4 linked regions of the Elephas maximus indicus genome follow. The main gene of each other region encodes a partner of the protein of the gene in region 3 in a complex. Links are inferred from orthologs where the notes say so. Each region holds a gene or a part of one and is shown on either strand. Other genes may lie near its edges.

Region 1 (7,592 bases), on a different chromosome or scaffold from region 3:
TTTAATGTACCTCATGTGTTTTGGTTATATCTATTAAGAGTTTTTTAATCCACAATCTCAATGGCTGTGATCTTTTAGAAGCAGATTGCCAGGCCTTTCTTCCACAGCACCTCTGGGTAGATTCAAACTTCCAACCTTTTAGTTAGTAACCAAGCACTTAACCATTTGCATGCCATTCAGAGACTCTGCTGCCTGGGTAGTTTGGGATATTATTCTTTTTACTCCTTATTAATTTGATAGAGAAAAAAATGCCATTTTAACCTACATTAAAAAAAAAAATTACTACTGAGATTAAACATTTTCACACATGTTTAGCTATATGTCCTTTTCTGAACTGTGTCCTCAGCCTGTCTACTGTAATTTCTACATTCTTAATTTTTACAGGCTCACTGCACAGTGATGAGATCATTCCTTAATTCCTCCCCTCAGAGGGAACTGAAAGATTTCATGCCTTACCTGGCTTCTTGCCACCATAGAAGTGAGTATACTCAGCACAGGTAATGTACCTGAAGAAGAGAGGAAATGTTACTACCATCAGAGGACAGAGTCTTTGGAAGTAAGTCATGACTTCATCATTTGCTCATTCAGCAAATGCTTATTAAACACCCACGTGCCAGGCACAGAATGATGACAGAAGAGACATGAGGATGCACAAGCTAACACAAACAGTCCTGCTTGGCTCTGAAGGAAGTTAGATGAATGTAAAACAAGGCCTAGCGAGGAGAAGGAGCTGGCCATGTGAAGATCTAGGCAACAAGCTTTCCAAGCAGAGGGACTAGCAGGGATATCAAACATAAAAGCACTGAGGCAGGGAAAAGCTAGGTGTGTTCTAGAAGAGAGGGGATGCCATGGGAGACAGTGTCTGCGGGAAGGTGTGAAAGCAGATGAAAACTGAGACGTAGGTGGTAAAGCTGAAAGAAAGCTGTTAAAGGGTTTTGAGCAGGACCTTGGTATCACCTACTGTAAGTCTAACAAGGATCACTCTGGGTACTATGTGTAACGGACAAGCAAGACAGGAAGCAGAAAATCCACCCAGGAGGAGGCTACCAAGGTCCAAGAAGGAGATGGCATAAATTCCACCTGGGTGGAAGGGGGTGGGTGAGGTGAGCTGGAAAGACTGGCAACTGACTAGAGGTGAGAGTTGAGAGAAGTAGCATCCCATCCAGCTCCCAGGCTTTCTGATCTGAGTAAACTGATTGGACAGTGGTGAGGCAGTGAGATAGGGAGAAAGAGGTTCAGTGGCTAGAAATCGAGTTCAGTATTGGACATACTCCATTTGAGGTGTCTGTGAGGCCTCCAAGTGGAGATATGGAGTAGGCAGCTATTGCCAAAACTGGAAAGATCAGCTTGTAGAAGACTGGGTGAGAACATCCACGGAAAACATACATGAAGAAGAAACCTGGTGCTCGCTGACCTACAGAGGTCTGGGAGAGAAGGAGGAGTCTAGCAAAGGAGACAGAAAAAGAGGCCACAGAGAGAGACTGGAGGAACTCCTGAAACTACGGCCCCCGGACACTGTGTTAACCCAGAACTGAAACCATTCCTGAGACCCACTCTTCAGATAAAGATCAGACAGGACTACAAAACAAAAAATAATACACCAAGGAGTGTGCTTCTTAGTTCAATCAGATACACAAGACTAAATGGGCAGCTCCTGTCCGGAGGCAAGGTGAGACCGCAGGAAGGGACAGGAACTGTTTGAATGGACACAGGGAACCCGGGATGGAAAAGGGGAGTGTGCTGTCACATTGTGGGGATTGCAACTAATGTCGCAAAACAATATATGTATAAATTCTTGTGTGAAAAATTCATTTGATGCTTTGAAGGCCAGTGTAGCAGGGGCAGGGGTTTGGGGACCATGGTTTCAAGGGACATCAAAGTCAATTGGCATAATAAAATCTATTAAGAAAACGTTCTGCATCCCACTTTGAAGAGTGGCGTTTGGGGTCTTAAACGCTAGCAAGCGGCCATCTAAGATGCATCAATTGGTCTCAACCCACCTGGAGCAAAGGAGAATGAAGAACACCAAGGACACAAGGTAATTACGAGCCCAAGAGACAGAAAGGGCCACATGAGCCAGGGACTACATCATCCTGAGACCAGAAGAGCTAGATGGTGCCCGGCTACAACCGATGACTGCCCTGACAGGGAACACAACGGAGAACCCTTGAGGGAGCAGGCGAGCAGTGGGATCCAGACCCCAAATTCTCGTAAAAAGACCAGACTTAATGGTCTGACTGAGACTAAAAGGACCCTGGTGGTCATGGTGCCCAGACCTTCTGTTGGCCCAGGACAGGAACCATTCCCGAAGCCAACTCTTCAGACATGGTTTGGACTGGACAATGGGTTAGAAAGGGATGCTGGTGAGGAGTGAGCTTCTTGGATCAGGTGGACACTTGAGCCTATGTTGGTATCTCCTGCCTGGAGGGGAGATGAGAGGGTAGAGGGGGTTAGAAGCTGACAAAATGGACAGGAAAAGTGAGAGTAGAGGGACAGAGCGGGCTGTCTCATTAGGGGGAGAGTAATTGGGAGTAAGTAGCAAGGTGTATATAAGTTTTTCTGTGAGAGATTGACTTGATTTGTAAACTTTCACTTAAAGCACAATAAAATTCAAAAAAAAAAAAAAGGCTCGACGCACTCAACAACAGCTGCATACCAGTATTAATGAGCTAAAAGATACATCAGGAACACCTGTCGCACTCATAATGCTAATAAACAAATGCCTTTACATAACCAAACAAAAAAAAATTCATTTGAGCTATAAACTTTCACCTAAAGCACACTAAAGAACGAAAAAGAGGCCACAGAAGAGAAGGAAAACAAAGAGCACCTGGTGTCCCACACACCAAAGAAGCAGCTTCAGAAGAAAGGAGTGGTCAACTGTGTCCTCTGATGCTGAGAAGTCCAACAAAATGAGGACTGAGAATTGACCACTAGCTTTGGCATCGTGGAAGTCACAGGGACCCTGACAAGTGCCGTTCTGGGGCAAAAACATGACTGTAGTGGTTTCAGGAGACGGCAGAAAACTAGTAGACACATACATTTCAAGTCTTGCGATGAAGAATCAAAAGAAACACGGTGGTAGCAGGAGAGGAACACGGGGACAAGGCAAGGCTGGTCTGTTTGGAACTGGGAGTCACTGCAGTGTGTGTGTGCGCGAACAGGCGTGAGGCAGCCAACCCCGTGAGCACGGAGAGTAGGGGCCAGAGGGACCACTTGCAGAAGCCCAGCGCCCCAAGGTGAGAGGAAGGCCCAGGAAAAAGCGGCATAGGGGTGCCGCTCCCGTTTGAGGTTCCACTTACATCTTGTCCTTCTGGTGCTGTCGCTTCCCCATGGCGGCGACAGACGGCAGCGGCGACTGGACGAGCGTGAGCGGGCACAAGAGACAGCGGACAGTAAGACCCCGATGCTTTAGCCGAGATCTATGACCAGTTCCGGGATCCGAGGTCCCGCCCCGGAAGCGAGCGCTTAGCATGCCGGGAAGTGTGGCCCCGGCGCGGAGCGCGCATGCCCAGTCCCTGAGCGTCCAGCTGAACTCACCCACTAGGGCGTTTGCGCACAGGGCGTTGAGATGCTTTCTACTCGAAGCCCTCTCTTTTGGGGGGCCTCTCTCCGGCTTGTCTCGCTTACCCGCCTAGCCTGGGCGCAGTCCTGCCCGGGCTCTCAGGCATTTTAAAAAGCCCATCTGGAGCCGCAAGGCCTACTCCTGTCCACACTGGCTGGCTAGCTGCTCACCGCCCGCCCATTCACCCACTCTCGTCGCTGCCTCCAGGCCCCTGTGACCCAGTGGCAGGTGGTCACCAAGCCTGGAGGCCCCAGGCCCTCACTGGTCTCTATTGACTCTTCCGCTGGACCCTTCCTTGCCCCAACCAGAACGTTTGTGTACCCCCATCTCATTTCTAGCCTCTGTTTATACTCAGGCACCGGGGGATCTTGCTTTAAAAATCACTTGTATCCCGTGACTACCAATGCTAAGCCTGTGCTCCAGACTCCTGACCTTTACTGGGTACCCACTGACCTCAAAGTTAAAATGCCTGGTCAAAGAAGAAGTCGCCATTCCCCACCCCCTCCCGCCACCGTCCCCCAATTCTGTTGAATATACCATCACCAACCCAGTCACTGGAAACCAGCTGTCCTTGCTTTTCTCATTTTACTGCTGGTTCCTCTAGGTTCCACTTTAACGACACCTCATAGAGACCTTCCTTGATGCCCCCATCCCAGGTGGCTGTCCCCAGACCTCTCCATTCCAGCTCCCATCAGGCTGCTTATCACAGTGTGTCAACTCGTAGTAATTCATCTGCGTGCTGGTTTACCCCCACCCCCCTCATAGACACACACTGCTTGGTTTATCTACAGTTCCAAGAAAGGTGTGGAGCACATGCAGGGGTTCAGCATCTGCTAATGTGCCTTCCTTGAAAGATATTTAGTGAGGACTCACGTTTCACATGCAGGTTTGGTGCTAAGGTTGGGAGTGAGGTGACAATTAGTCATACATCTTTGAAATTCCTTAGAAAGGTGCCAAGTTGTAAAGTGACACATCAGCTTCCTCCAGGGAGAAAACATGTTTCTAAATCTACGCACCAAGTAAGGTTTGTGTTTAGGGGCTAGGTGTAGGAAAAAGATGGTAGACATGCAGCTCAGTTGGGTCAAATGAGGCCCAACCAAGGGCACCACTCGTTCCTTGAACAAAGTGCATATGGCTGAGTTTTCACATTAGGGTACAAGCGATGAGTGCTGACCTGACCACCTACTGTATGCAGGCTCCGTCAAGGGACCTTGGGCTGGCACTACTACCCTGACCATCCCTTTGGGCTAGAGGGAGCACTAAACCACGCCGAGGGAGCCCAGCACCCACCCCAGCACAAGCACAGCACCTCCAAAGAATCTTTATTGATTCATCAGGCCATGTCTGTAGGGAAGTGGTTATGCGCTCCCGTGGTGGGGCACCGAGTCTGAGCTGCCAGGGTCGTTCTCTGAGTCATGGTCAGGTCTGCGTACCGGCTGGAACTTGAGTAGGACAGGTGGGGTGAAGATGGAAGCCTTCACGGGAGGGGATGGCATCTCCTCGGTGCTGGGGGAGCCACTACAGGTTGAGGTCCTGCACAGAGACATCCAAGAGATGCCCATGACGTGGGCCACCAGAACCCAGGACCATGTACCCTCAGCACCCTGCTGACATATTTCTACTTCCAGAAACCTCTCTTATGAATGTGTGTTCAATGCTGTTCATTGCAACAATCTCTTATGACTATAAAAACCTAGAAACAATCTAAATGTTCATCAATCAAAAAACCAGTTCCCATTGAGTCAACTCCAACTGATGGTAACCCCATGTGCGTCAGTAAAACTTGTCCCATAGGGTTTTCAGTGGCTGATTTTTCAAAGTAGATTGCCAGGCCTTTCTTCCCAGATGCCTGTGGGTGAACTTCAACCACCAACCTTTCAATTAGCAGCTAGCAGTTAACCGTTTATGCCACCCAGGGACTCTGACAATGCCCAAGAGTCCTTCACTTTTAAATTGTACTTTGTAGCAACACTGCAAAAATGTTCATTGTCACCCAGCAATCAGTCACCTTCCCCCTCCCAACCCCTCTTCTGATCTGATAGCCTATGAGTGCATAATCACATATAATCATATTTATAATTTTAATGGTGCATAATACTCCACAATTACGTGAATGTACTTTTGAGCAGCTTTGTTATTCACTTTTAACTGATGCTGCCATAAATACTTTTACACACAATGGTTTTTTCCCTTAATAATTTCCTTGGGGCCAGTTCCCAGGATTAAAAACACCAGATCAAAGAATGTGAGAACTTCCATGGCTCCTGATATGTTTTGACAGATTGCCTTTCAAAAGGCTCAAGCCTTTAATTTTGTGCTTCAGAAGACACCACCAAGAAAGTAAAAAAGACAACCTACAGAACAGGAAAAAATATTTCCAAATCATTTTTCTGAAAAGGGATATGTATCTGGAATATATAAAGAACTCTTACAATTCAACAATATGAAGACATACAACTCAATTAAAAACTAGGCAAAGGATCTGAACAGACATTCCTCCAGAGAAGATATACAAATGGCCAATAAGCACATGAAAAGATGATTCACATCCTTAGTCATCAAGGAATGTAAATCAAAACCACAAGGAGATACCACCTCACACCCAGCAGAATGGCTAGAATCAAAAAGACAGATAATAACCAGTGTTACCATGAGAACATAGAGAACTGGAACCTCACACACTGCTGGCAGAAATGTACAATTAGTACAGGCACGCTGGAACAGTCTGGCAGTTTCTCAAAAGACAAAACAGTTACCATATGACCCAGCAATTCTTCTCCTATGCAAACAAGGGCCACACAAAATCTTGTACATAAACATTCGTAGCAGCATGATTCATAATATCCCCAAAGTAGAAACCCAAAAGTCCATCAACTGATGGCCATTTATCTAACAGAATGTGGCATATTCATACCATACTATGGAATATTATTGGGCAATAAAAAGGACTGAAATACTGATTCATGCTACAACATGGAAGAAGCCTGAAAACATCATTCTGAGGTGAAAGAAGCCAGACACAAAGGACCACATATGTATGACTCCGTTTATACGAAATGTCCAGAATAGCTAAATCTATAGAGACAGAACATAGATTTGTGGTTCTAAGGCTGGGGGGATGGGGAGATGGGGGGTTGTCGGTGATGGCTAAGGGGTACCGGGTTTCTTTTTGGAGTGATGAAAATATTCCAAAATTGATTGTGGTGATGGTTACACTCCTTTGAAAATTAAACTTAAAGCCATTGAATTATACACTTTAAATAGGTGAATTGTATGGTATGTGAATTATATCTCGATAAAAACGTTTTTTACAAAAAGGACTATAGTGCCAAGCTACCGCCACTGATCTTTGTGACAGAGATCACAATAGAAGGTTCCAGACAGAGCAGGAGAAAAATGTAGAAAAAAATTCAAATTCACAAAAAAGACCAGACTTACTGGTCTGACAGAGACTGGGGGAATCCCTGAGACTATGGCCCCCAGACACCTTCTAACTCGTAAGTAAAGCCACTCCCGAAGTTCACCTTTCAGCCAAAGATTAGAGAGGCCGAAAAAACAAACAATAATACGAGTGAGGCATGTTCTTCTTAATCAAGTATAGGAGACCAAACGGGCAACACCTGCCCAAAAGCAAAGACGAGAAGGCAGCAAGGGGTAGGAAAACTGGACAATTGGAAATGGAGAACCCAGGGTGCAAAGGGAGAGAGTGCTAACACATTGCGGGGATTGCAACCAATGTCAGGACAACAGTTTGTGTAATAATTTTTGAATGAGAAGCTAATTCGCTCCGTAAACTTTCACCTAAAGCACGCACACACACAAAATTAAGTGATGTTGAAATGGCAAATGTTTTCTTATATATAATTTTGCCACAATAAAAAAGTCAAGTGAAAAAAAAAAATGGACTAAGCCAGCGTATAATATTTTCACAGCAAAAATGAGAGTCTCTTTCTAAAGCTTTGATAGCACTGGATTTTATCATTGTCTCTTTACTCTGGACTTTTTGATAGGTATATAACATACACCC
Region 2 (7,978 bases), on a different chromosome or scaffold from region 3:
ACTAGGTGGCGACATTAACATAGAAGAATTCAAGACCAAAAAGAGGCATTAAATGGGATGAAGAGCATTACTTTACATTGAAAAAAGTCCTAATACATAAAAAGTCACAGAACTTCATGCATCAATTAACAAATTAACATTTTTAATAAAAAAAAACTACTAGAAATAAATATTAACACTATGAAATATTAACACAGTAAAAAGCTTCTATGATGAAACTAGTGTGGTACTGGCACATGACTAGACAAGCAGAAGATAAAGAGATCCTAGTGCATATGGAAAAATTAGTATATGATAAAGATGGCATCCCAATTTGCTGGGGAAAAAATGGACTTTTTAAATAAACGGTGTTGGGGCAACTGGATGGCTATTTGGAAATGGTAAAATTGGATCCATACTTCACATCATATACCAGAATAAGTTCTAAATGGATCAGAAATTTCAATGTAAAATAGGAAAGAACACAGGTGAATTCCTTTATAACCTGGATGGGTGAGGAGAAATGCTTTCTAACTATGATGCAAAATCCAGAAACAATAAAGGCTGATAAATGTAACCAAATAAAAATGAGGAGGGAAGACTGAAGCATGAGCAGAAAGGAGTAAGACGAGGGAGTTTTAGGTGGATGGAGCTGTTATTCATCCTGATTGTGGGAGCAGTTATACAAATCTAAACATGTACTAAAATTCACACAACTGTACATGCCTCAAAAAACCAATGTTACCATATAATTTAAACATATAAAGAAATGAATGCAGGAAATAAAAAATAATAAAAGGAAAATAATTTTGCAGAGCAAAACAAATCATAAGCAAAGTCAAGAGGCAAATGACAAACTAGGAAAACGTATTTATAATTTATCTAACAGATTAAACGGCCAGAAAGTAACTTTTTTTTTTTTTTCGCTATAAAGGGCATTATCACGACAGCTGGAGAAACTGGATAAAGTCTATAGATTAGATAATAATATTATGCAAAGTGTTGATTTCCTGAATTTGATCACTGTTCTGAGGTTAAACAAGGGAATGTCCTTACTTTTTGGGAAATATATATTGAAGAATTTAGGGATAAATGAGCACCATGTCTGCAAGTGACTTTCAAATGGTTCAGAATAAAATTGTATATACATATTGAGAGAAATAAGAAGCCTTGCTGGCACAGTGTTTAAGCACCTGGCTGCTAAATGAAAGATCGATGGTTCGAACCCACCAGCTGCTCTGTGGGAAAAAAGATGTGGCAGTCTGCTTCTGTAAAGATGACAGCCTTGGAAACCCTGGGGTAGCTCTACTCTGTCCTACAGGCTCGCTATGAGTCAGAATCGACTCAGTGGCGACGGATTTGGATAGAGAAATGATGACAAAACCAATGGGATAACATGGTAACATCTGGGGAATCTGGGTGGAGGGGATACAGGTAGACGTTCTTTATACTACCCTACAACTTTCCTATTTTAAGTCTGACATTATTTCAAAATAAAAGTTATAATAAGAAGTCAAAAAAAAAAGAATACAGAAGCTGGCTTGACGGGGCTCCTATCCAATAAAAACCAAACCCATTGCCTTCAAGTTGATTCCAACTCACTGCAACCCTATAGGACAGAGTAGAACTGCCCCAGAGGGTTTCCAAAGAGCGGCTGGTGTATGTGAACTGCCGACCTTTTAGTTAGCAGCCGAGCTCTTTATCACTGTGCCACCAGGGCTCCAACAGGGTTCCTAGTGACCCTCAAATTGGAACAATTTGAGCAACAAGAAAGAATAATGATGGTCACGTATTATAACATATCAAATTATTTAAAAATGAGTCCACGGCAACATAACACATGATAAAGCATTATAACAAAGAGTTAATATCCTTAATACGTGAAGGGCTCTTATAAAATCAATAGGAAAACACCAACAGAAAAAGAAGGCAGGAAATGAAAGGGGACTTACTGTGAGAACACACAGATGATGTCTCCTTCAGTCAGTTCATAAGGAAGCCCTCCTAGAAGAGGAAACCATATTTCAGCACATTTACCAAGTGTCTATTACATACCATGCACTGAGCCAGGCACTGGGGTGCAAAGGAAAGTAAGCCACAGGCCCTGCCCTCAAAGAACGTACAGTCTGATGCAAAGATGGAAGTACGTATAAGGTGCAGAAGTACAGAAAAAGAAGCGATTAAAGGTGTGTGTCACCCTTAACCAGGCTGATCAGATAGCTCAGTCCTCACACCCAAAATTCTATTCATGAAGCAGATAGTTTCCAGTACAAAACTGTTTCCACAAACTTATTTTGAATTCATCTGCTCTTTACCCACAATTTTATAGCTAAGATCCAAAATCAGCTTAAATATGTTCATATTAACCCCACCCACACAAACACTAAGGATTATAAAGATAACTGTTAGGCATTTCATAGGAAATAAATCCCGCCCCCCATGTTTCCTTCCTCATCTGTAAAATGGAGATACTAGTACTTATCTCACAGGATTGTTACACAAATTAAACAGTGTATATGAAGTGCTTAGCACAATTAATAGTTACAACATAAAGTGAATCTAGGGATGGTGATATGGCCATGGACAGAAGGTAGGAGCTAATTAAACAAACAAAAAAAATCAAACCCAGTGCCGTCGAGTCGATTCCGACTCATAGCGACCCGATAGGACAGAGTAGAACTATCCCGTAGAGTTTCCAAGGAGCGCCTGGCGGATTCGAACTGCCGACGCTTTGGTTATCAGCTACACCAACAGGGTTTCTTCAGGAGCTAATTAGATAAGAAAAATGAATTTTGAAAGGTGATAGTTTGGGGTGGGAGGGCGGTTGGCTGCTTCCACTTGCTAGTTATGTGACCTTACGGAAGCCGGTTAATTTCTCTGAGCCTCAGTTTCCTCAGCTGTATAACGGGAATGAGGCGGGGGTACAGAAATGATCTCTGAGAAGCCCGTGAAAGGCTCTCAGGAAAGTGAATGGCACACAATAACAGGAACGCTCACGAGCATTGATTTGGCAGGGAAAGCAAACTAGAAATGAGGGCGAAAAAAGATATAAAATCGGATTAACAGCAGACAGCAGGTCAGTAAGAGCGGATGATGAAATGTGGGCAGGGGCGAAGAGCTAGAATGCTGAAATGTCAGGAAGCAGCCAGAAGACTCACCCAAGAAGACCCAGGCGCTGTCCTTGTACTCGGAGTGCCAGGAAACCTTATCGGCCACCCCAAGCTGGACCTCCCGCTCATTCAGCTCGTTGATCAGCTTCACCTTAGTCAAAGGGCTGCAGAGAGGGTGGAAGAGAGACAAGTAAGTGAGGTCCGGGCTGAGCTAAGGGAGAGCAAAACTAGGGGGACTGGACTCTCTAGCCTCCGCGCCTCTCTCACCCCTCCGCCCCGCAGACGCTCTACCATCCCAGACCCCGTGGTCCACCTCCCGGCGGGCAGCTCCCGCTTCCTCAGAAGAAAGTCGGGCCTTACTTCATCTTCGTGGGTCCCCGCTTTGCACCGAAACCTAGTCTTCCGGGTGAGGCTGCGCGGCACATGCGCAGCCCGGGCGCTTCGCGCTCATTGGAGGCGGCGGAGCATGCGCCGGAAAAGCTCGACCGCGCCAGGGGCGTGGCGCCTGCGCACGACTGTGAAAGCGATTTTTCTAGCTCCGTGTGCTTCGTTTTCCCGGAAGGAGTTTTTCTCTAGTCTCCTGCGCCATCTGTCTGTGAAATGGGGCAAGAGTGCTAGGCTGGCTTGTCACAGAATCCCACACTGATTGGGTTAGCTATAAAAATTTACTGAATGAAGAATGAAAAAGGTGCCCCATGTGGCGACATTTGTCCAGCCCTCGCTCCCAGTCCAAGCCCCCACTCGGGCCTTCATTCCCAGACCATCTCTCACAAACACACATCCTAGTATTCTTGTTCAGCAGTATGGCAGAAAAGTAAAAAAAAATATGCCAATGCATAGGCAATGGACCACTGTGCCTCCACAGGCTGAATTGAATCTGTTTGTGTGAGAGCTGCTACATTTACCCTTCTCATAGTCTCGCCTATTTGAGTGGGAGGCAGAAATTAATGTTGTTAAAGTAAGAGCTAACAATTGAGCAGATAATGCGCTAAACAATGCCAGATCATGTGCTGAGCAATTTACGTGTCTCTCCTTTACAACAACCCCATGGAGTAGATAATACGATCATCCCCATTTTATAGAGAAAGAAACTGAAGTTCAAAGGAATTAATTAGCTTGAAAGGTACTCTGCCTCTACCCACCAGGTGAGGTTTATTTCATCAGTGCTTACTGAGCATCTATATTTGTCCTGTACAGCTAGAATCTGTAGAAAGGAGTTTAAGGCTGGTCCTCTCCCCTCAAGGAATTAATAATATAATTGAGGAGACAAGATATATTTGCCTAATAGATGTCACTCCAGAAGTATCCAGGAACCAGTAGACAACATGGTGGCATATGATGTGTGATTTTAGTCATAACACTATTTGAACCCATTTGCATCTTTCCACATCAAAATCTGGTCTTGGACCATGATGTTTTAAAAGTGAAAGTCCAGAGCAATGTAGTTCTCTGTGTAGGCCTAGCTCAGAGTCAGATATTAGGCCCTTTATAAAAGTATTTTGATGATGATGACAACTGTATTCTCAAGTGGCTCACCATGTACCTATGTCCTGCCAAGTAGCAGAACAGTGGCTGCCCATCCATGACAGCATCTCCTCATACATCCGGTGTCTGTGTCCCCTCCCTCATCCCAACCCAGCTATTCATTAACTTTGTAGAATTCTCTTGGCAATAAAAACTAAACAGTGACAGATTGCATACGGGTTTATCTACCTCTAGGAATCTCAGGTTGCTTAGTTGTAGGGTTGAAGTAGCCACTGCAAAGTGGTAAACTAGCATGTAGCATTATCTGGTTGACTTCTTCAAGTGACTATGAAATGAGAGAGTTGGGGCTACACCTGTCCCAGTCATCAGCATTCAGAAGGAAACTAGAACAGAAAAGGTGACTAAATCAACCAAAGGGAAGGGTGATATTGGTTGAGGAGAACATAAGAAGACAGTTGCTATCCAGCTGGTGGGTTCAGCAGAAGTATTCTGAAGCTGGGGGAGCTGACAATCATCCCAGTTTGCTTGGGACTGAGGGATTTCCCAGGACACAGGACTTTCAGTGCTAAAATTGGAAAGTCCAGAGTAAACTGGAATGGTTGGTCACCTTAGGAGAACCTGAAGTAAATAAAGAAGCAAGAAAGGCAGATTCTCCATGGATGTGCTTGCCATTGGTAGAACTGGTAGGTAAGATAATGCCTTGTGATTTCTGTAAGTGTGAGTTGAAAGGCAATGGGGGTCCAGAAGACCCCCTGAACTTAATGCCTGAGAAGACGACCAGGGTTTGCCATCCAAGGTGGTTATCAGTGATCTCCGCCAACATTTATTTAAGACCCACTGTATGCAGAACTCAGCTCTAGTTTCTTGGGCAATGCTAAGGAAGCTGAAGTAGTCCCCACATTAAAAGAAAGACTGAACTATTTGTCTAGCCAAAGTCAGCTCCCTACTTCTCACCACCAAACCACACCCCAAAACAGCTTTCCCTATTTTGGGCAATGCTATCACCATTTTCCTGGTTGCCCAGGGTGAAAAAATGGTTCTCATATTTCAGTCTTCCCATTTGTTATGGATTAAATTGTGTCCCCCCACCAAAAAAAAATGTGTTGGAATCTTTACCCCTATACCTGCAATGTAATCCTATTTGGAAATAGGGGTTTTTGTTATGTTAATTAGGTCATGCCGAGTAGAACCAAAAACCAAAACCATTGCCCTGGAGTCAATTTGGACTCATAGCGACCCTATAGGACAGAGTAGAACTGCCTCAGAGGGTTTTCAAGGAGCAGCTGGTGGATTCAAACTGCGACCTCTTGGTTAGCAGCCGAGCGCTTAACCACTACACACCTGGGCTCCTACCTGAGCAGGGGGAGTTCTAAATTGAACCCGATCTAAATTTAATCATTGAGTTCAAAAAAAAAGCAGATAGACAAAGAGGCATGCACACATGGGGGAAGACAGATGCCATGTGAGGATCACCAAGGAACCAAGGAACGCCTGGGGCTACTGGAAGGGAAGAAATCAACACAGCTGAGACCCTGATTTGGACTTTTAGCCTCTAGAACTGTGAGAAAATAAATTTCTGTTCTTTAAAGCCACCCTTTTGTGGTATTTCTGTTACAGCGGCACTAGGTAAGAACCTTGCCCCGCCAAGTCCTAATAATTGTACCACTGCAGTGTCTGTAACACATACATCTTCAGGCTACAATCCTACTCCCAGTGATTATCACATGCTTCTTAGCTCTCTCAGTACTCTTATAATTCATACCAGCCCCTAGTCTTGATTTCTCTCATCACTCCCTGACACAGGCCCTCGACTTCAGTCAGGCTCCACTTTGAGCCTTCCCCTCGAGGGCCCCTTTCATTACCCAACCTGGACACCTCTGCTGAAAGAGCCCCATATACCTGAGAGAGCCAGCCCCCTCTCTGTCTGATTGAAACCTGCCCAAGCTGCAGACCTGGATCAAGTTGTCCCTCCAGCAGGAACTTTTCCTGACCTTACCAGCCCACAGTGATGGCTCCCACTTCTGAACTCTGCTTCACTACAGAACTCTTTATGCACTCTTCCCAGAAAGAGCATGAGATCCTGGAAGGCAAAGGCTCTGCATTTATAACCTCTCAGCACCTCAAGCCTCAAGCACTTTCCTGCACACATAACTTATACCCAATACAATAATTGGTTAATAAAGTTGAAAAACACACACAACTATGGTTACCTTAGGAGTCCTTAGATGGTGCAAATGGTTAAACACTCAATTATTAACTGAAAGATTGGCAGTTGAGTCCACCCAGGGGCACCTTGGAAGAAAGGCCTGACAATCTACTTCTGAAAAATCAGCACCTGAAAACCCTATGGAGCACAGTTCTACTCTGACACACATGGGGTCGCCAGGAGTCAGAACTGATTCGATGGCAACTGGTTTCATGCAGTGGTTAAGCATTAAGGCTGCTAACCAAAAGGTCAGCAGTTCGAATCCACCAGGTGTCCCTTGGAAACCCTATGGGACAGCTCCACTTTGTCCTAGAGGGTTTCTATGAGTCAGAATCAACTCAATGGCAATGGATTTCCGGGTTTTTTTGTTTTTGAGGGAAACAGATGAGGGTAGTAGAAAAAGAGGTTTTTATTTTCCCTTTGGACCTTTCTATACTGTTAGAATTTTCTTACCTTTATCCAGATATTTTTTTAAATGCCACGTTATCTTGGCAGATGGATTATGACCTTTCTTTTTTTGCTTTTATCTTTTATTCATTCTTTCAACAAGTATTCATTGAGCAGCTATTATGCGCCAGACACTGTTCTAGGTGCTGGGGTTATAACAGTAAACAAGGCAAACAAAGTCCCTGCCCTCATGGAGCTTACATTCTTGTTGGAGAAGAATGACAATACACATATACACATACATCTAAAGTTGATAAATGCTATGAAGGAAAAATAAAGCAAGGCAAAGGGATAGAGAGTGACGGAGTGTTCTTATTTTATAAAACGTGTTTGGTCAAGGAAGGCATCCCTGATAAAGTGCCATTGAGAAAGACCTGCGAGAAGATGGGGAGTAAGCCAGGTGTGTATCTGGGAGAAAAGTGCTCCAGGTAGAGGGAACAGTAAGTGCACACGTCCTGGGAAAGAAGTGTTTGAAAAACAGCAATACCAGTGTGGCTGGAGAGAAGTAGGCAAGGGGAAGACTGATAGAAGATTTTTGTTTATTTAAAAAAATCTTATTTAGTGCCTAAATAAGATCCTAAGTACTTTACACACACTAACTCATTTATTCCTCACAACAACCCTATGAGGTAGATGCTATTATCCCCATTTTACAGATGAGAAAACTGAGGTACAGAGAGATTGAGTCACTTGCTCTAGGTCACACAGCTAGTAGATGGTAGAGTCAGGACTGGAATCCAGGCAGTATGGC
Region 3 (7,740 bases):
ATGTACCAGGCCTCTAGACGAGCCTCAGGCTGTAGATGAAAGAGGGCACTGGGTTTAATCCTAAGCAGGGCAGGTCCAGTAATAGGGCTCCTGACCCCTTGGGGAAGGTTCGAGTTCCTCCATGGTAATGAGGGTTTGAGTCCCTCTGTGGCCGCCTTTTTGAGGGTTTGAGTCCCTCTGTAGTAAATGGCTACACAAGTTCAACCAACACCCAACTTCACAGGATATCTGGGATGTAGTAAAGGCAGCAATCACAAACTTAACATGGTACCTTCCCCTTCTAAGATCCCTGGCCATGGTCATTCTGCTACTTGTATTTGGGCCTTGTTTGTTTAACCTTTCAGTAAAGTTTGTGTTTTCCAGGCTTCAGAAGTTCCACCTGCAGATGATACTGCAACGGGGATATCACCCCATCTTCCTTGAGCAGGTTCCAGCTAGAGCCCAGTTCTATGCCAGCACCCCTAGCCAGCAGGAAGAAGCTACAGAAGATGAGACCTTCGGCCCTAAACACCTTTTAAGATAGAGAGGCAACTGAAGCCTCTGCCGAGATTTCCGCTGCTCCACCATGGTTCCCCCCGTCACAGCCCGCCAAGCCACGGCTTCTAACTGTGGTTTGGCCTGACCACACCAACCTAACCGCAGTTTGAATTTGGTGCCAGAATCCAGCGCATGCGTGAACCAGGATTTTGGCCCATGCACAGGACCTGAAGAGCAGCATCCTCAACCTGTCCTTGGACCTGAGCATCACCAACATGATTCACCATTTGGACCTCCAAATGTGGACATGGGAGGACTAAGGGTGGAAAGTTCCGGGCAGCAAACCCAACCCCCAGATGCCACTGGAAATACAAAGCTCCTCAACTGCCCCCCCACCCCAGATGGGGAGTGCATGGTCTTTCGACTGCTAGGTCCCATATTGCTCCTTGTTTGTGCAAACAATAAACTGCCACTTTCCGTTTCCCTTGCAACTAGTGGTGTGGTGTCTGTCTTATTTCAATTGGCTAATAGGACAGGACAAGAACCCATATCACATAAATTCTGAGGGCCCCAAGCACAATTCATCATAAGATGGAAGTCTCACATTTGGGATGAAGCACAAAGAACACCAGAGTGCACAAGAGACCTACATGAGCAGGTAGCACAGACCTCCATGTCACCCGTTACACTGACATCCCTCCCTCAGTTCATATTGATAGCCATATGAGAGGGAGTGGAGCTAAAACTATCAGAGGAAAGAAGAAAAAAAGGCCAAGCTAAGTTTATGGATGGATTGGCTCACCACATGGTTGAAAGCTGAAAATAGACAGCAACCACATCACAGCCTCATTCAGGACAGCCTTGAAGACAGTGGAGAGGGACAATCTTCTGAGCAATACTGCAGTAGAAAATCAAAAACCAAACCCATTACAAAACCAAAGGCCAAACTCATTGCCACTGAGTCAATTCCAACTCACAGCGACCCTACAGGACAGAGTAAAACTGTCCCCACGGGCTTTCCAAGGAGCAGCTGGTAGATCTGAACTGCTGTCCTTTTGGTTAGCAGCCGTACGTCTTAACCACTGTGCCACCACTATGGTATAAGGACCTAGTCATTTAATCCCTTAGTAGTCCCTCCGTTTCAGAAACTTTGGCAGCATAGATGTTAAGAGCTACCACTGCTAACCAAACAGTTGGCAGTTCAAATCTACCAGGTGCTCACTGGAAACTCTATGGGGCAGTTCTATTCTGTCCTGTAGGGTCACTATGAGTAGGAATCAACTCAACAGCAATGAGTTCTTGGTAGTTCCCCTTTGGAGCTACCCCTGCCCAATCCTGCTTCTTCCCTTTTCTTTTAAAATTCCTAACTCTATCTCAGTATCTTCTTCTTGGAGGACCGAAATGACAAACCTACTTTTTTCTGGCTCCATTCAACTCTTGTAGGCTCAATCCTAACTTTCTTATTTCCACTGATAATTGCAGTGGTGTTCATTATATTTCTTTTAGATATGTTTACCAGATTCATCTCCTGTGCCACGTATTGGTACAAATGAAACATATTCCCTTAAAATACCTTAGAACACCAAAACACAACTTTAGCTATGGTCAACTCTCTTCATATGAATAATAATACCCGTTACTGTCAAGTCGATTCCAACTCACAGTGACCCTACAGGACAGAGCAGAAATGCCCCACAGGGTTTCCAAGGAGCACCTGGTGAATTCCAACTGCAGACCTTTTGGTTAGCAGCCATAGCTCTTAGCCACTAAGCCACCAGGGTTTCCATCGATAATAACAGATAGCAGTTATTACATACTAGGCACTTGACTACTAACCTAAAGGTTGGTGGTTCGAGCCCACGAAGCAGTTGCATGGAAGAAAGGCTTGGCAATCTGCTTCCATAAAAAGTTACAGTCATAATGATTACCCATTCCTGTTGAGTCAATTTCAATTCACAACACCCCTATAGGGCAGAAAACGGCCCCATCAGGTTTCCAAGGCTGTAAATCTTTATGGAAGCAGAAGACCAGAAAGCCCTATGGAGCAGTTCTACTCTGTAACACATGAGGTCTCCATGAGCCAGAATGGACTCCAGTGCAGCTTTTTTTTTCTCTTTTTTAAGGGGATGGGTATTGGTATTATTCCTACTTAACAGATCAGGACGCTGGGGCACAGAGTGTGAAGTAACTTGTCTAAGGTCACCCAGCTAGGAAGCCATAATTCAAATGTAAATAGTCTGGCTCCAGCTTCTTTATTATTAACCACTGTACTCTTCTTTCTCTTGAAAAGGGTTGGTAGCAGAAGCACCCTAAAAATGTAATAAATAAGTATCTGGAGAAACCAGGCCTGGTTTATATAAGGTTGGTGAATATGCTATAGTTGTTTTAAACCAAAACCCAAACCCATTGCCCTTGAGTGGATTCTGACTCATAGCAGCCCTATGGGACAGAGTAGAACTGCCCCCATAGGGTTTCGAAGGCTGTAAATCTTTACAGAAGGAGAGTGCCATATTTTTCTCCGTGAAACAGCGAGTGGGTACGAACAGCAGCCCAGTGCTTAACCACTGTGCCACCAGGGCTCCTCATAGTTGTTTTAGGGAAGGATATATCCCCAAACAGTTAGAAGTAGTTGAACTTTTTTGTTGCTATTGGAAAGTAAGGCATAATGAAATTAATTGATGCTGGATCCCTGAACTCTGTACAGACTACCATTCAAACTCTGCCAGATAATCTCCTTACCTCATGATATCTTGACCGTGAAAAACTGGTATTATGATCTTTAAGGTTGCATGTCAACTTGGCTGGGCCACGATTCTGTGGTTTGGCAGTTATGATGTAGTTTGGCAGTTGTATAATGATGTAATCACTTCCATGACAAGATCTGCTATGAGTAGCCAATCAACTGAAAGGGAGTTTCCTTGGGGTTGTGGCCTGCATCCAATATATTTGGACTTTTTGGCAAAGCTCCTTGGCTTCTGCTCTGCTCTGGATCCTGCATTCAGCTCGTCAGCATCTGACCTCCGGTCCCTGGGACTTGGGCCAGCAGCCTGACATCTGACCTGTGGATCTTGGGTTCATCAGCCCCTGCAGCTAAGTGAGTCAGGAGAAGCCTCCAGTTTGACACCTGACCCATGGACTTGGGACTTACCAGCCTCTACAACCCTGGGAGCCATTTCCTTGAAACCTGGATCTCTCTATCCTTCACTGGTTTTGCTTCTCTAGAGAACCCAGCCTAAGATAGAGACATCATTTTCTTTTCAGGATTAGCTTCTCTTCATTACTTCACACTATTTATGGTTCTGTATTTTCTCCTTCACTTAGGCTTGAAATCTTGGTACTTTACAGGCACTTTTTAACATTTGGTAAAGCTTAATACGCTCTCGTGAAACTACTGTAAAGAGTCTGAATAAGCTGTCTGCTCTTAAGATTTTCACGGAAAACTGACTTAAGTATTACAGTCATGCCAACTGCAGAAAATAGTTTTAGATGAAAGTAAACCTCGCTAAACCCTAACCCTTACCACGTTTCCGGTGCGTTGACTGGATGTACTCGGGGGCGCTTACCTACAATGACTACAATTCCCATCCTACACTGCGGCCTCCACAGCCTAAAACTACAATTACGCTAGCGTCGTTTCCGCTCGTACGGGCAGTGGGTGTTTGATTTAGTCGTTTGTATCAACTTCTTTTGTCGCCGTCTTAGGGGTAGCAAGTGGATGCACAGAGTTCTTTGAATCTAGTACTACGAAATAGTGTTAAAATAAATCAATACTTTTATAACATATCACAGCTAATTTTTAATGTATTTCACGCTCCGCCTTCATTGTGCCGCCAGAGCCCAGGAACGGGAAGTGACGTGTATCCGGTGTAATGGCGGCGCGGTGGAGCTGTAGGTAATTACCGCAAACTCCGTAGACTCCCTGTAGGCAGGGATCCGACGTAGGTGTGGCAGTTTTCCTGAACGGGTGGGAAGTGAAAGGGGCCCAGGAGTGGGTGCGCGCCCGTTGGCCCAGCCGTGGGCTGTAAACGGGTGCGCGTTGCTCCCTGCCCGCCGTGCGCTGGCCCGCGAGGTGGGGGTGTGAGCGCGGGTCGGGTCGAGGAGTCGGAGCGGGTTAGGAAGGGGCGGTGGTGTGCTCGCTCCCCGCCTGCATGGATGAACTTAGTTTCCGCCTGAGAGTTTTGGGCTGACTCCTATCTCTTTGTTAGTGAAATCCAGCAGTAGCGATGGTCTTTTTCTTCGCGTACAGTGCGGTTCGGGCGCGGGGTACTTAGAGCCTGAAGAGTTAAGTTGGGCTTCCCAGGCACCTTTCATAGTGTCCCCGTCCTAGAGTCATGGGGGTGGGATTAGGAAACTGTAGTTGATTGAAATAGTGGAAGTTGCACTCTTTCACTCATTTCCTTCTTAATATTCCTGTGACTACCTATTTTACTAGTTTCTTTTTTCTTCGTTTGCCTCGTAAATACTGATTGTTCTCAGTGTTTAGGCCGGGGGGGGCTCTTTCCTTATCATGTGTATTCTTTCACTGTCATCTTCATCTTTTGATCACTGGAACTACATCCAGTAGGGTGATCATAACTTCCAAATTTGAGTCTCAGGTGTCCACCTGCCTTCTGAGCTCCGGATCCAACAGTACATTCTTGCGTACAATGGTATTTTAGTAGTTTCATTAACTGCGGTAACTGCTTTATTTATTTTCACCTAACCCTCAAAGCAGTTCTTCAAGGTAAGTGGAAAAGGAAACATACTGAGAAAGGCTGTTCCAAAGGCAAGCATTGAAGTGATTGAAAGCGTGATAAGAATTTGCTTTGCATATTCGGGTGTCCACAGACTAGACATATGAGGTAGATACGCAAACAAGCTTGGTTTTCAGAAAACATGTTAACCTACCTTTTACTTTTCTGTGTTTAGATTTGTCTTGGTTTAGTATTGTCTCTGAGCTCAGGAATTAGCTTCAGTTAACAGAAAAGCAACTTTAGAATTGGTGTTTAATAGTGTGGGTTTTGACCATGGTAAAGTTACTGCACACTGTGTCTGTAGGAGGAGGTAACTCCCTTGCGTTGAGTTGATTAATGGACTAGTGAGCCAAAGGTTCCAGTCTTGGCCTGACATTTATTGGGTCTATCACCTGGGTGGGGTAAGTCACCTTATGTCTCTCATCTTAGCTTCTTTACCTGAAAAACTTAGATTATAATATCTACCTCACCGAGTTGTTTTGAAGATGAAGGAAAATAATGCACATTAGATATTAAGCACAGTGCCTGGTATATAGTGTTACCCATTGCTGTCGAGTGGATTCCGACTCATAGCAACCCTATAGCACAGGGTAGAACTGCCCCTTAGGGTTTCCAAGGCTGTAAATCTTTTCGGACTCATAGAGTCGGAATCGACTCGATGGCACTGGGTATTTTTTTAAATCTTTTCGGAAGGGCTCTTTCTCCCGAGGACTGGCTGGTGGATTTGAACCACCAAACTTTTGGTTAGCAGCTAAGCCTTTAACCACTATGCCACCAGGACTCTATTATATAGTGTTAGCCCTTATTATATTAAGGCTCTCTGGTGGCACAGTGGTCAAAATTATCTACTGTTAATGGGAGGATCAGTCTTTGGAAACCACCAGCCGGCTCCAGGGTAGAATGTGGCAGTCTGCTTTCATAGAGATTATAGCCTTGGAAACCCCATTGGGGTCACTGTGAGTCGGAATCGATCCGACGGCAGTGGAATTGGTTTTTATTATTTTATTATTGCTGTTGCTGCTACTACTACTGTTACATGTTGCCCTTCTACTATTAAGTGTACAGGCGCCTTTCGTAACTAATCTGGCTGGGGCTCTGGGACTTTGTGGAAGAAAGGCCTGGTGATCTACTCCCCCAAAATCTGGCATTGAAAACCCTGTAGAGCACAGTTCTACTGCGACACACACGGGGTCGCCACGAGTCGGAGTTGACTCAACAGCAACTGGTTACTGGTTTTACTGGGACTCTGCTTATACTTGCTTGCTTATCAGAGGCCGAGAGCCTTGATCTAATACCCTGGCTCAGTGGTTCTAAAAGTGGTCTCCTGAACCAGCAGCATCAGTACTTGTTAGCAATGCATATTTTGGGGCCCACCCCAGTCCTGTTGAATCAGAAACTGGAGGAATGGGAGCCTATCAGTCTGATTATTAATAAACCATCTATTTGATTCTCATGCCTGTTTGAGAACCACATCCCCTAGAGACCTGTTTTTTTTTTTTTTAATTGTGCTTTAGATGAAGATCTACAGAACAAATTAGTTTCTCATTAAACAACTAATACACATATTGTTCTGTGACACCAGTTGCCAACCCCGCAATGCGTCAACTCTGTCCCTTCTCGACCTTGAGTTTCCTGTTTACGTTCATCCAGCTTTCCTGTCCCCTCTTGCCTTCTCATCCTTGCTGCTGGCCTGGTGTGCCCATTTAACCCCTATACATGGTTGAGCTACGTGTATTTTTGTTTGTTTTATGGGCCTAAATCTTTGGCCAAAGGGTGACCCTTAGGAGTGACTTTAGTAGTGAGTTAAAAAGGTGGCTGAGGGCCATACTCTTGGGGCCTAGAGATCTATTTTTGTCTGTTGTTTGTGTTTTGTTTCATTTTCCAGAATCAGCTGCTACTCCCCTTCCTCACTTTGGATAGTTTAGCTCCAACCACTTCTGTAGTTAGACACTCCCTAGACTATAGGGTCCCTGTGAGTTGGAATCAACTCGACGACAAGGAGTTTGGTTTTTTTAGGCTACTTAGCTGTCTTTCCTAAACCAGCTTTCCTAACTGTCAGCTTTCCCAGTTGCTGAATTGTTAGTGGTTAACTCCTTTCTGATGATTGTACGCTGCCAAGTGACCTGTAATGGCTTGAACCTGAGGCCACCTGAAAGGACACAAGAGCATCAGGGTATATGCTCATGCCATAACTGCAACATTATTTTCTGTTTGTTGACCACATGGATTTAGAGCTAGTTTAAGGAAGAAGTGGTTGTTGGTGGTATAGCTGATCCCACTGATGACTTTTGAGGACTCCTTTGTTGCATTTCCCTACTTTTCATTTTAAATTTGAGAGTCCTATGGAAGGGTGATGAAACAGTAAGGCCTTTGGCGTATTAGTTTCAGCAAACTCCCAGACTTAACTAAATCTGTAGCCTAAATACTTTATCTCAGTATTTGCATATCCCAGGTAGACACTGTGGAGACACTTCAGTATCTGCAAGAAAGTATAAGCTTTTCACATAGTTTGCTTCAGAGTTAGTACATG
Region 4 (8,471 bases), on a different chromosome or scaffold from region 3:
CACTGAGCAAAACAAACATCTTTGCTCCTGTAGAATTTATATTCTGCATGGGAGAGTTAGAGACAGAAACAATAAAGGTAATGTAACTAAATCATATAGTACCAGGGAAGATAATGCGTGCTATGTAAAAAAGGAAAAGTAGAACAGGGTAAGGACATCAGAGTGCACAGTGTTGGTAACAGAGGTCTGCCTCATTGGAACAAAGCCTTCAATGAGATGGGCAGGAGTGCTCTTGGTGGAGGAAACAGCTAGTGCAAGGGGGCCTAAGTCAAGAGCCGCTGTGCTTGTTCAAGCAAAACCAGGGAAAACATGAAGCCTGAAGAGGCATGAACAAGTGATGAGGTCAAAGAGGCAGAGGAGAGGCTAGATTACGGACAGCGTTGTGGGCCATTGTGAGAACTTTGGCTTTTATTGTGAGGGAAATAGGGTGCATTCCCTCTGTCTGGCTGGATGCCCTTTTCTCCCCATGGCATTATTGTATTATCTAGTTGTATTACTGGATATACCCAGTTGTATTATTGATTTTTTTAAGTGTTGCCAATCCGATGCTGTAAAGTGATAATTCCTTGTTAACATACTTTCATTTCCCCAATATCAAGTGTCTTTCATGTTTGTCTATTTGGAATTGCTTTTTTCTGAATGGCCCGTTGATATCCTTTGCCCATTTTTTTTTCTGTTGGGTTGTTTGTATTTTTTTTACTTATTACTATTATCAGTAGTAACAGTAGTAACCATTTACATGTTATAGGCATTACAAAATTTCCCCCCAATCTACCATTTATCTATTGATTCTGCTATTGGCATCTTCTACCATAAAACTAATTTTTATATAGACGAATTTTTTAAATTATTTCTTTTATAGTTTCTAGGTGTTCTGCCTTGATCAAAAGGTTTCTTCACATGCTAGGCTGTATAAAGAGTCTCCTAAATTTTCTTCTTAGGTTTTTATGGTTTCTTTTTTCCTTTTAGGTGTTTAATTCATCTGGGCTTTGTTTTTGTGTCAGCTTTGAGGCTGCAATCCCTTTGTTATTTCCTGACATAAGAAGAGTCAGTTTTCAGAGAGGGCCACATGAACCAGAGACCTACATTATCCTGAGAACAGAAGAACTAGTTGGTGCCCGGCCACAATTGATGACTGCCCTGACAGGGAGCACAATAGAGAACCCCTGAGGGAGCAGGATATAAGTGGGATGCAGACCCCAAATTCTCATAAAAAGACCATACTTAACGGTCTGGATGTGACTAGAGGAATCCCGGCGGTCATGGTCCCCAACCCTTCTGTTGGCACAGGACGGGAACCATCCCCAAAGACAATTCATCAGACATGAAAGGGACTGGACAGTGGGTGGGAGAGAGATGCTGATGAAGAGTGAGCTAATTATATCAGGTGGACACTTGAGACTGTGTTGGCATCTCCTGTCTAGAGGGGGGATGGGAGGATAGAGAGAGTTGGAGGCTGCCAAAGTTTTCACAAAAGGAGAGACTGGAAGGGCTGACTCATTAGGGGGAGAGCAAGTGGGAGTAAGGAGTAAGATGTATATTAACTTATATGTGACAGACTGACTTGATTTGTAAACGTTCACTTGAAGCTCAATAAAAGTTAATAAAAAAAAAAAGAAGAGTCAGTTTTGTAATTATGGTTATTATATAAAACATCCTTTTCACATTGGAAAGCCTGGTTGCATAGTGGTTAAGAGCTATGGCTACTAACCGAAAGGTCAGCAGTTCGAATCCACCAGGTGCTCCTTGGAAATCGTATGGGGCAGTTCTACCCTGTCCTATAGGGTCACTATGAGTCCACGGCAATGGGTTTGGTTTTGGGTTTTTTCACATTGAATTAAAATACAACCTTTGTTATACTAAAACGGAACATTTTTTAAGGTTAGGATATACTACACCATGTTCGAAGCTGACAGGAATAATATGAAAGGGATGGATTAATACGTTATGAAGGAGAGATAGAAGATGTAATAGGATGCTAATCACTAAGAAGGCTGGAAAGATTGGGACCCAGAGTACAAGGCAGAGAATCTGGGTCACCTCATCTCTAGTAACACAGGGAAAGGTGAGAACAGGCCCGTAGCTGCAGGCAGCTTGGTAGGTCTGCTGGGGTGGGGGAGGATGAGGAGTCCTTGTTTGTGAGTTTCTGTTTTCCCAGGGAAGTAAGAAGATAATTAGCTCCCAAGAAAACGGGTGAGAAGGGAAGAAGGGCTGGAGGAGACGTGTAGGAGTTTTGAGGAACAAGGGCAATGTGGGAAATCATATCACTGAAGAGTAGGAAAATAAACAGAGGGATGTTTAAGGGGGCTGGCAGGCAGAATTAAGAGCCCAACTAGACACTTGTGGTAAGGGGTTTAAAATAAGAACTCTTGGAAAATCAGTTGCGTGATTTTTTTATCAGCAAAGTTCAGCTGATAGCATGAACTTATTTTTTTGTAAATATACTTAGTTTTAAGTTTCTTTTTCTTAATACCGTCAAACTGTTTAAGTCAAAAATTTTAGTTTCTTTTTCTTACTACTACTTTCAAACCATTTAAGTAGAAACACTCTTTAGTTTCTTTTTCTTATTAATACTTTCAGATCATTTAAGTCAACAGCTTTTAATTTTGTGGACGGATTATATTGTATGTTGGTGTTGATAGGTGCTGACTTACCAGGGTGGTCACCTAATCATGGCAGGTGGTCAAAAGATTGGGTGGTGGGCTGGGAGTTAAATGGATTAGGGTGATTCGCTCAGGGCTGATAAAGGCAGTTGACACATAAAAACCATGGATATTTTCTACAGTTGTGTCACCATCTTGTCATTGCTACTTCATTCCTCTACTTCAGAGTGCATCATTCATTCATTCATTCAACAAATACTTACTCAGCACCTATTATGTGCCAGGCACTGTTCTATATGCAGATGATACACCAGTGAACAAGAGAGACAACGTTCCTGCTTTCCTGGAACTTACGTTCTAATACAGGAAATAGACAATAATAAAAATAATATTAATAATAATATTAGCTAACATTTATTTAGCAAGTACTGTTTGCTGAGACAGTTCTAAGCACTTTACAAGTAGTAACTCACCTAATCCTTATAGTAAGATTAAGGGGGAGGGACTAGTATTATCTCCATTTTATACATCAGGAAACTGAGGGCAAAGAAAGGGAAACTAACTTGCAATGGGTATAAGCTGAAAAAGGCAGAGCAGAAATTTTGAACCAGTCTGGCTGTAGATCCCTTTCTCTTAAAAACTGTTCTGTGCTGCCTTTCAGACAGGAAACAAGGCAATAAACAAATGAACAAAATAAGTTCAGGTGGTATTCAGTACTACGAAAAAATAAAACAAGGTGGTATGAAGGTATTTACGTGTTAAAGGGGTGAGGGTGCAACAGGTGGGTGTTAGGGAAAACTTCACTGAGATGGCATTTGAGCTGAGACCTGAAGGATGGTTATGCAGTTATCTTGGGTACAGGCAGCAGAGAAAAGCGAGTGCAAAGACTCTGATACAGAAGAACCTTGTCTTGCGAAACAGAAATGCCCACTCGGCTACAGGTTAGTGTATAAAAGAATAACTTACTCAAATGAAGTCAGGGAGATAGGTAGGAGACAGAACCTGTGGGGCCTCAGTTCACACTAGGGAATTTGATTTTTATTCTAAGCGCAGTCGAATTTTATGCAGAAAAGTAATACTATCTGACTCATAATTTTACAAGATCACTCTTGCTGTATACATAAAGCTGACTGGAGGACAAAAGGAGAAGCAGGAAGATCTATTAGGAGGCAATTACAATCCAGGTGGCTTGGACAGGGTGGTGGCTAGGGCTGGGGTGGTGCAGTAGGATGAAAAGTGAGGGAGCAATTTAGTATGTATTCTGAAAGGGGATTGGAAAGACTTCCAGATAAACTAGATGTGAAGAGTGCAGGGGAAGGAACTTAAGTACAGGCTTTGGGATTCTGGGTAGTGTCATTTACTGAGATGTGTAAGGGGGGAGGAATACCTTCACTAAGAAAAATCAAAATTTCCATCTTGGACTTAACAGAGGAAGGAGTTTTCTCCTACTTTTTTTTCATTTAAAAGTTTTAAAGAAAAAGTTTAAGGGAAAAGCTTTTGAATATTCAATTTTGTGAGCTCTTTACATTAGAAACTGAGTTGGGGAGGTTACATTTTCATTTGTTCAACAAATATTTATGGAGCACCTACTATACGCCAAGGACTATGTGATGAGACACCAAGATGAACTAAGCAAACAAGATCCCCGCTCTCAGAGTCCTTTGTTTTACTTTTATTTTTCGGTAGGAAGAGAGAGGGAGATGGGTGATTTTTTTCTGTTTGTTGTCTTATTAAAACTTCACCTAACGCTTGAGTAGCCATCTTATTAGTAATTGCATCTCGTGCTCCTGGCAGTTGGGCCCACCGTTCTAAACGCTCAATATCAGGTGAATAAATGAATTAATCGCTAACATTACATCTTCCCTCCCACTAGAATTCATACTTTTTTTTTTAATAAAAATTTTAACAAACAATACGAATACAACCTTCGCTTTGAAGTCTAATATTTTTGCAGGAATGGTACCTTTATAAAGATCGTGGTTGCCCCCGTACATATTTGTTCTTTCTTCATATCCAATTAAATGAAAACACTAGCTTTTCCGTAGCCCAACTCTCTAGGCTTGTTGGGTCTAGCTCAGGAGAAAGGAAGCAGGAACCGTTGGATTTAAACAGTTTGGTGTAATCCTGTTCCACGCTCCCTCCCGCTAGTCGGGGACGTGATGTCGGCTATCCTGAGCTTTCCGTCCACGCAGAACCGGAATGAAGGAGTCTGGGAGGGGGTCGGGGATGGAAAAGACGGAAGAGACATTAACTAATTGGCTCTTGAAGGTATAAAATGATGTTTTAGGGTCTACGCTAAGGCACCGATTTCAAACGCCCGCCCCCTGGACCGTTTCGGTCCCGCCCCCTGTTGTCGTCACGCCGACTTCCACCTTGGCCTCTGTGGATTGGTCCGCGCCTCCGCCTCTGAAGGGCAGCTGAAGCGCTTGGATTTTGCTTCCGGGTCTTGGCTTTGGCGCTGGACGCAGAGGTTTCTGGGAGGCAAGGGGCGTAATGGTGTGTGTATGATCTCCGGAGGCTGCAGCATCGGACGTCGGCCAAAGTAAGCGGCAGGAGGGTGGCAGATATTCTTCTTCGTTCTGGAGGTGGGGCAGGAAAGGGCGACTGGGGTCGGAGGCCGCGACAGCGCGCGGGCGGAAGAGGTCCCGGAGCGGCAGGGTGCTAGCGGAGCAAGGCGCCTGTGGAGCGCTTGCGAGCTGCTGGGCCGGCCGAGGGAAGCTCGGCGCGAAGGCAGCTGTGCAGACGGCTTTAGGCAAGCCTTGGGCCCCCCTACCGCCGAATCCGGTGCAGGTGAGGCATCAGCGAGTTCCTGGTGACAGCTTGTCGGCGGGCTCCCGGGAGGCCGGGGTGATGATAAACAATGGGGGGGGCGGTGGCGCCCCCAGCGGCAGAAAACCCTTTTTCTCCCCCTGTGGGTACATGCCTTTCCTTTTTTTTGAAAAACAAAAAACTGTACAAAAAACATCCAGTTCCAGCTTGCTTTTCCGACCCTAAACCCTAAAAAACCCAAATCCGTTGCTGTCGAGTTGATTCCTATTATGGGTTTCTGACCCTATCGGAATGCTATTAGCAACATCTGCTAGGCAGTGTTCTTTTGGCTGTTTATAGTCTAAGTAACCAGGGCTTTGACCTGGTTAGTTTTGGGTTGAACCCTGATGAGAATTTGCGTTTCCGCCCCCAGATATACCAAATCAGAATCTATATTTTAACAAGAGACCCAGGTGATTATGTTTAATAAATTTTGAAAGCCACTGCTCTGCTTGTGGTTCTCAGAATTGGTCCCTAATCAGCAGTATTAGTGTTGCCTGCGGATTTGTTAGAAATGCAAATTCTGAAAGAAACATAATGAATGGGTCTCTGATTTTTGGTTACCACAGCCCTTAAATGTTATTTTACAAAAGATCTGATTTATGTTATGATGTTGTTGTCCTAGAAACTTGGATCAACCAAAGATTGTTGGATAATTTTGTCCTTGTAACTGTCCTTAAAATTTAGCACACTTCTACAGTTTAACTTTTCTCCAGGACAGTTAGTAACAGTGATTTTTAAAAGTACCTTTGTGTTTTTGAGATGGCTAGCCCATTTGCTGTTGTGTGAGTTCTAGATAAAATGCAAACCCTACTGGTGGAGTAAGATTGAATTAAGAGTTTTTAAAACTCAATCATGGAGTGTCTGTGTTGGACAAGTGCTTTGACATGTCAGGAGCCCTGGTGGCACAGTGGTTAAGAGCTATGGCTGCTAACCAAAATGTCTTGATAGTTTGAATCCGCCAGCTGCTCCATGGAAACCCTATGGGGCAGCTCTGCTCTTTCCTAACTATGAGTCAGAATTGATTCGATGGCAGCGGGTTGACATGTCACATCTCAATTTTCATAATAATCCTATGGGGAATACCCTGGTTTTACAGATGGCAAAAATTTAAGCTAGGTGTCTTGCCCAAGGCCTCACAGCCAGAATGAGAAAGGGTGGAACACAAACTCCGATCCTTATTGCAGAATTTTTTTTTTTTTTTTTACTAGCAAGAGCCTCCTGAGTAGCTATATACTTTGTACACTCTGCGCCTCATGATTTGTTAAGAATGTTTGTGAGACTGTTCAAGTAAATAACTCACTGGGGAATGAGTGTGGGAAATTATTTCACAAGGATGGATATTGACTAATGCTTCATAAAGTGACAGTTTATCATATTGCAAATAACTTGATACTCTTTCTTCAAATCGTATAAGATGACAACAGCAGCCAGGCCAACTTTTGAACCTGCAAGAGGTGGAAGAGGAAAAGGAGAAGGTGATTTGAGCCAGCTCTCAAAGCAGTATTCAAGCAGAGACCTACCCTCTCATACGAAGATAAAATATAGGTAAAAAATTCTTTAAGTTTTTCTTGTTCACAAAACAAGACCATATCTACTAAATGGCATGTGATAGGATAGTAGCATATTTGTGTTATATCATTTTAGGTTATCTATTTTTTAGAAACAGAAGGCATAGAGTATATTTAAGATACCCTGATAGTGCCCTGGTTCAGCACTTGGCTATTAACCTAAAGGTTGATGGTTCAAATCCACCCAGTGGCTCTGAGGGAGAAAGTCCTGGCAATCTATTTCCATAAAGATTACAGCCTAGAAAGCCCAATGAGGCAGTTCTACTCCGTCATCTGGGGTCGCTGTGCGTTGAAAATCACCTTGATGGCACCCATCAGCAACAACAGAGTATGTTTAATGCTAAATTATGCTCTACAGTTGTAAACTGCTACGAGACATTTCATTAAGCAAATTCTTATCAACTTGGAATTTCTATACATAGATGTAGCACTAACTGATGCATTACCTCAGAGGGACCATGTACCATCAGCGCTGGGCAATATGAGGTTAAAACCATTACTGTATTCATTAAAACTATTTAAAAAATGAAGGGTAACAGGTGACTGGGAGAGGTGTGTTCCTATAACAAGCCCTCAGTTGATGTAATACTAATAAAAATTTAAAGATATTTTAATCTGCAACCTTATTATTCGAAAATATGTGAGTTACTCAGCATTTTGAAATATTGGAAACATCTCAAAGGTGCCTACTAGTAACCTCCTTCAGATTACATTAATCATCTTTTCTAGTCAATTTTTTTTTATACTTGAGGGACTGGAGACAAATGAAGCTTTTGTAGATTGTCTTTCATTTCTGCAGTTAAGCATTTTTTAGTAACAATTTGCCCTGGTTTGTTTCTACTTTAGACAAACCACTCAGGATGCCCCAGAAGAAGTTCGCAACCGTGACTTCAGAAGAGAGTTGGAAGAGAGAGAGAGAGCTGCTGCAAGAGAAAAAAATAGAGATCGTCCAACCCGAGGTACCAACACTATACAAAACATTTGTCTCATAAACTGACACATTGGAGATAGTTTTTTTTTCATGTAGTAAGTGGAAAAGATTAATATGTTTGTGTGTTTTTAACTACTGGTGTGAGCTCTAATGCTTCCTCAAATGAACTGATAAGATTAGAGGTGATAGCCAAGGTTCATTCCAGTTCCACCTTTTTATGCTTCTGTGTTAGAAAGGACAGAGGTGATTGGGGACATTTAGCCATCGTTTCAGTTCAGATCAAGGGATTTTTACTATTTACAGCGATGAGGCTTTTTAAGGCCTCATGGTTTCTGTCTTTCAAGATTGCCCCATTTTTGTCAGTGGCTGTTGGAGGATAAGGAGCCCTTGTGGCACAGTAGTTAAGCGCTTGGCTGCTAACTGAAAGGCTGGCAGTTCAAACCCACTCCGGGGCTCCACGGGAGAAAAGACCTGGCAGTCTACTCCCTGTAAAGATTACAGCTTAGAAAACCCTATGGGGCCGTTCATCTCTGCACGTGGGATCACTGTGAGTCAAAA

What was found.
Region 1: CWC22 (region 3) and PPIL2 share a complex: the UniProt entries of both Homo sapiens proteins name them as parts of the minor spliceosome. The link is inferred for Elephas maximus indicus from reciprocal best matches to the Homo sapiens genes CWC22 and PPIL2.
Region 2: CWC22 (region 3) and RBMX2 share a complex: the UniProt entries of both Homo sapiens proteins name them as parts of the minor spliceosome. The link is inferred for Elephas maximus indicus from reciprocal best matches to the Homo sapiens genes CWC22 and RBMX2.
Region 4: CWC22 (region 3) and CWC15 share a complex: the UniProt entries of both Homo sapiens proteins name them as parts of the minor spliceosome. The link is inferred for Elephas maximus indicus from reciprocal best matches to the Homo sapiens genes CWC22 and CWC15.

Annotation. Positions count from the first base shown.
Region 1 is NC_064840.1:21,007,838-21,015,429, forward strand, and holds the start of PPIL2 (RING-type E3 ubiquitin-protein ligase PPIL2), read right to left. Parts: upstream 3,446-7,592; 5' UTR 3,335-3,445; coding exon 3,303-3,334; intron 507-3,302; coding exon 457-506; intron 1-456. Other genes in the region: uncharacterized protein LOC126065945, read right to left, coding at 4,924-5,098. UniProt on the Homo sapiens protein: Has a ubiquitin-protein ligase activity acting as an E3 ubiquitin protein ligase or as an ubiquitin-ubiquitin ligase promoting elongation of ubiquitin chains on substrates.
Region 2 is NC_064846.1:26,103,267-26,111,244, forward strand, and holds the start of RBMX2 (RNA-binding motif protein, X-linked 2), read right to left. Parts: upstream 3,515-7,978; coding exon 3,450-3,514; intron 3,254-3,449; coding exon 3,138-3,253; intron 1,984-3,137; coding exon 1,932-1,983; intron 1-1,931. UniProt on the Homo sapiens protein: Involved in pre-mRNA splicing as component of the activated spliceosome. As a component of the minor spliceosome, involved in the splicing of U12-type introns in pre-mRNAs.
Region 3 is NC_064824.1:78,258,466-78,266,205, reverse strand, and holds the start of CWC22 (pre-mRNA-splicing factor CWC22 homolog), read left to right. Parts: upstream 1-4,263; 5' UTR 4,264-4,369; intron 4,370-7,740. UniProt on the Homo sapiens protein: Required for pre-mRNA splicing as component of the spliceosome. As a component of the minor spliceosome, involved in the splicing of U12-type introns in pre-mRNAs. Promotes exon-junction complex (EJC) assembly.
Region 4 is NC_064825.1:25,933,242-25,941,712, forward strand, and holds the start of CWC15 (spliceosome-associated protein CWC15 homolog), read left to right. Parts: upstream 1-5,039; 5' UTR 5,040-5,145; intron 5,146-5,172; exon of another isoform or gene 5,173-5,393; intron 5,394-6,828; coding exon 6,829-6,959; intron 6,960-7,828; coding exon 7,829-7,941; intron 7,942-8,471. UniProt on the Homo sapiens protein: Involved in pre-mRNA splicing as component of the spliceosome. Component of the PRP19-CDC5L complex that forms an integral part of the spliceosome and is required for activating pre-mRNA splicing.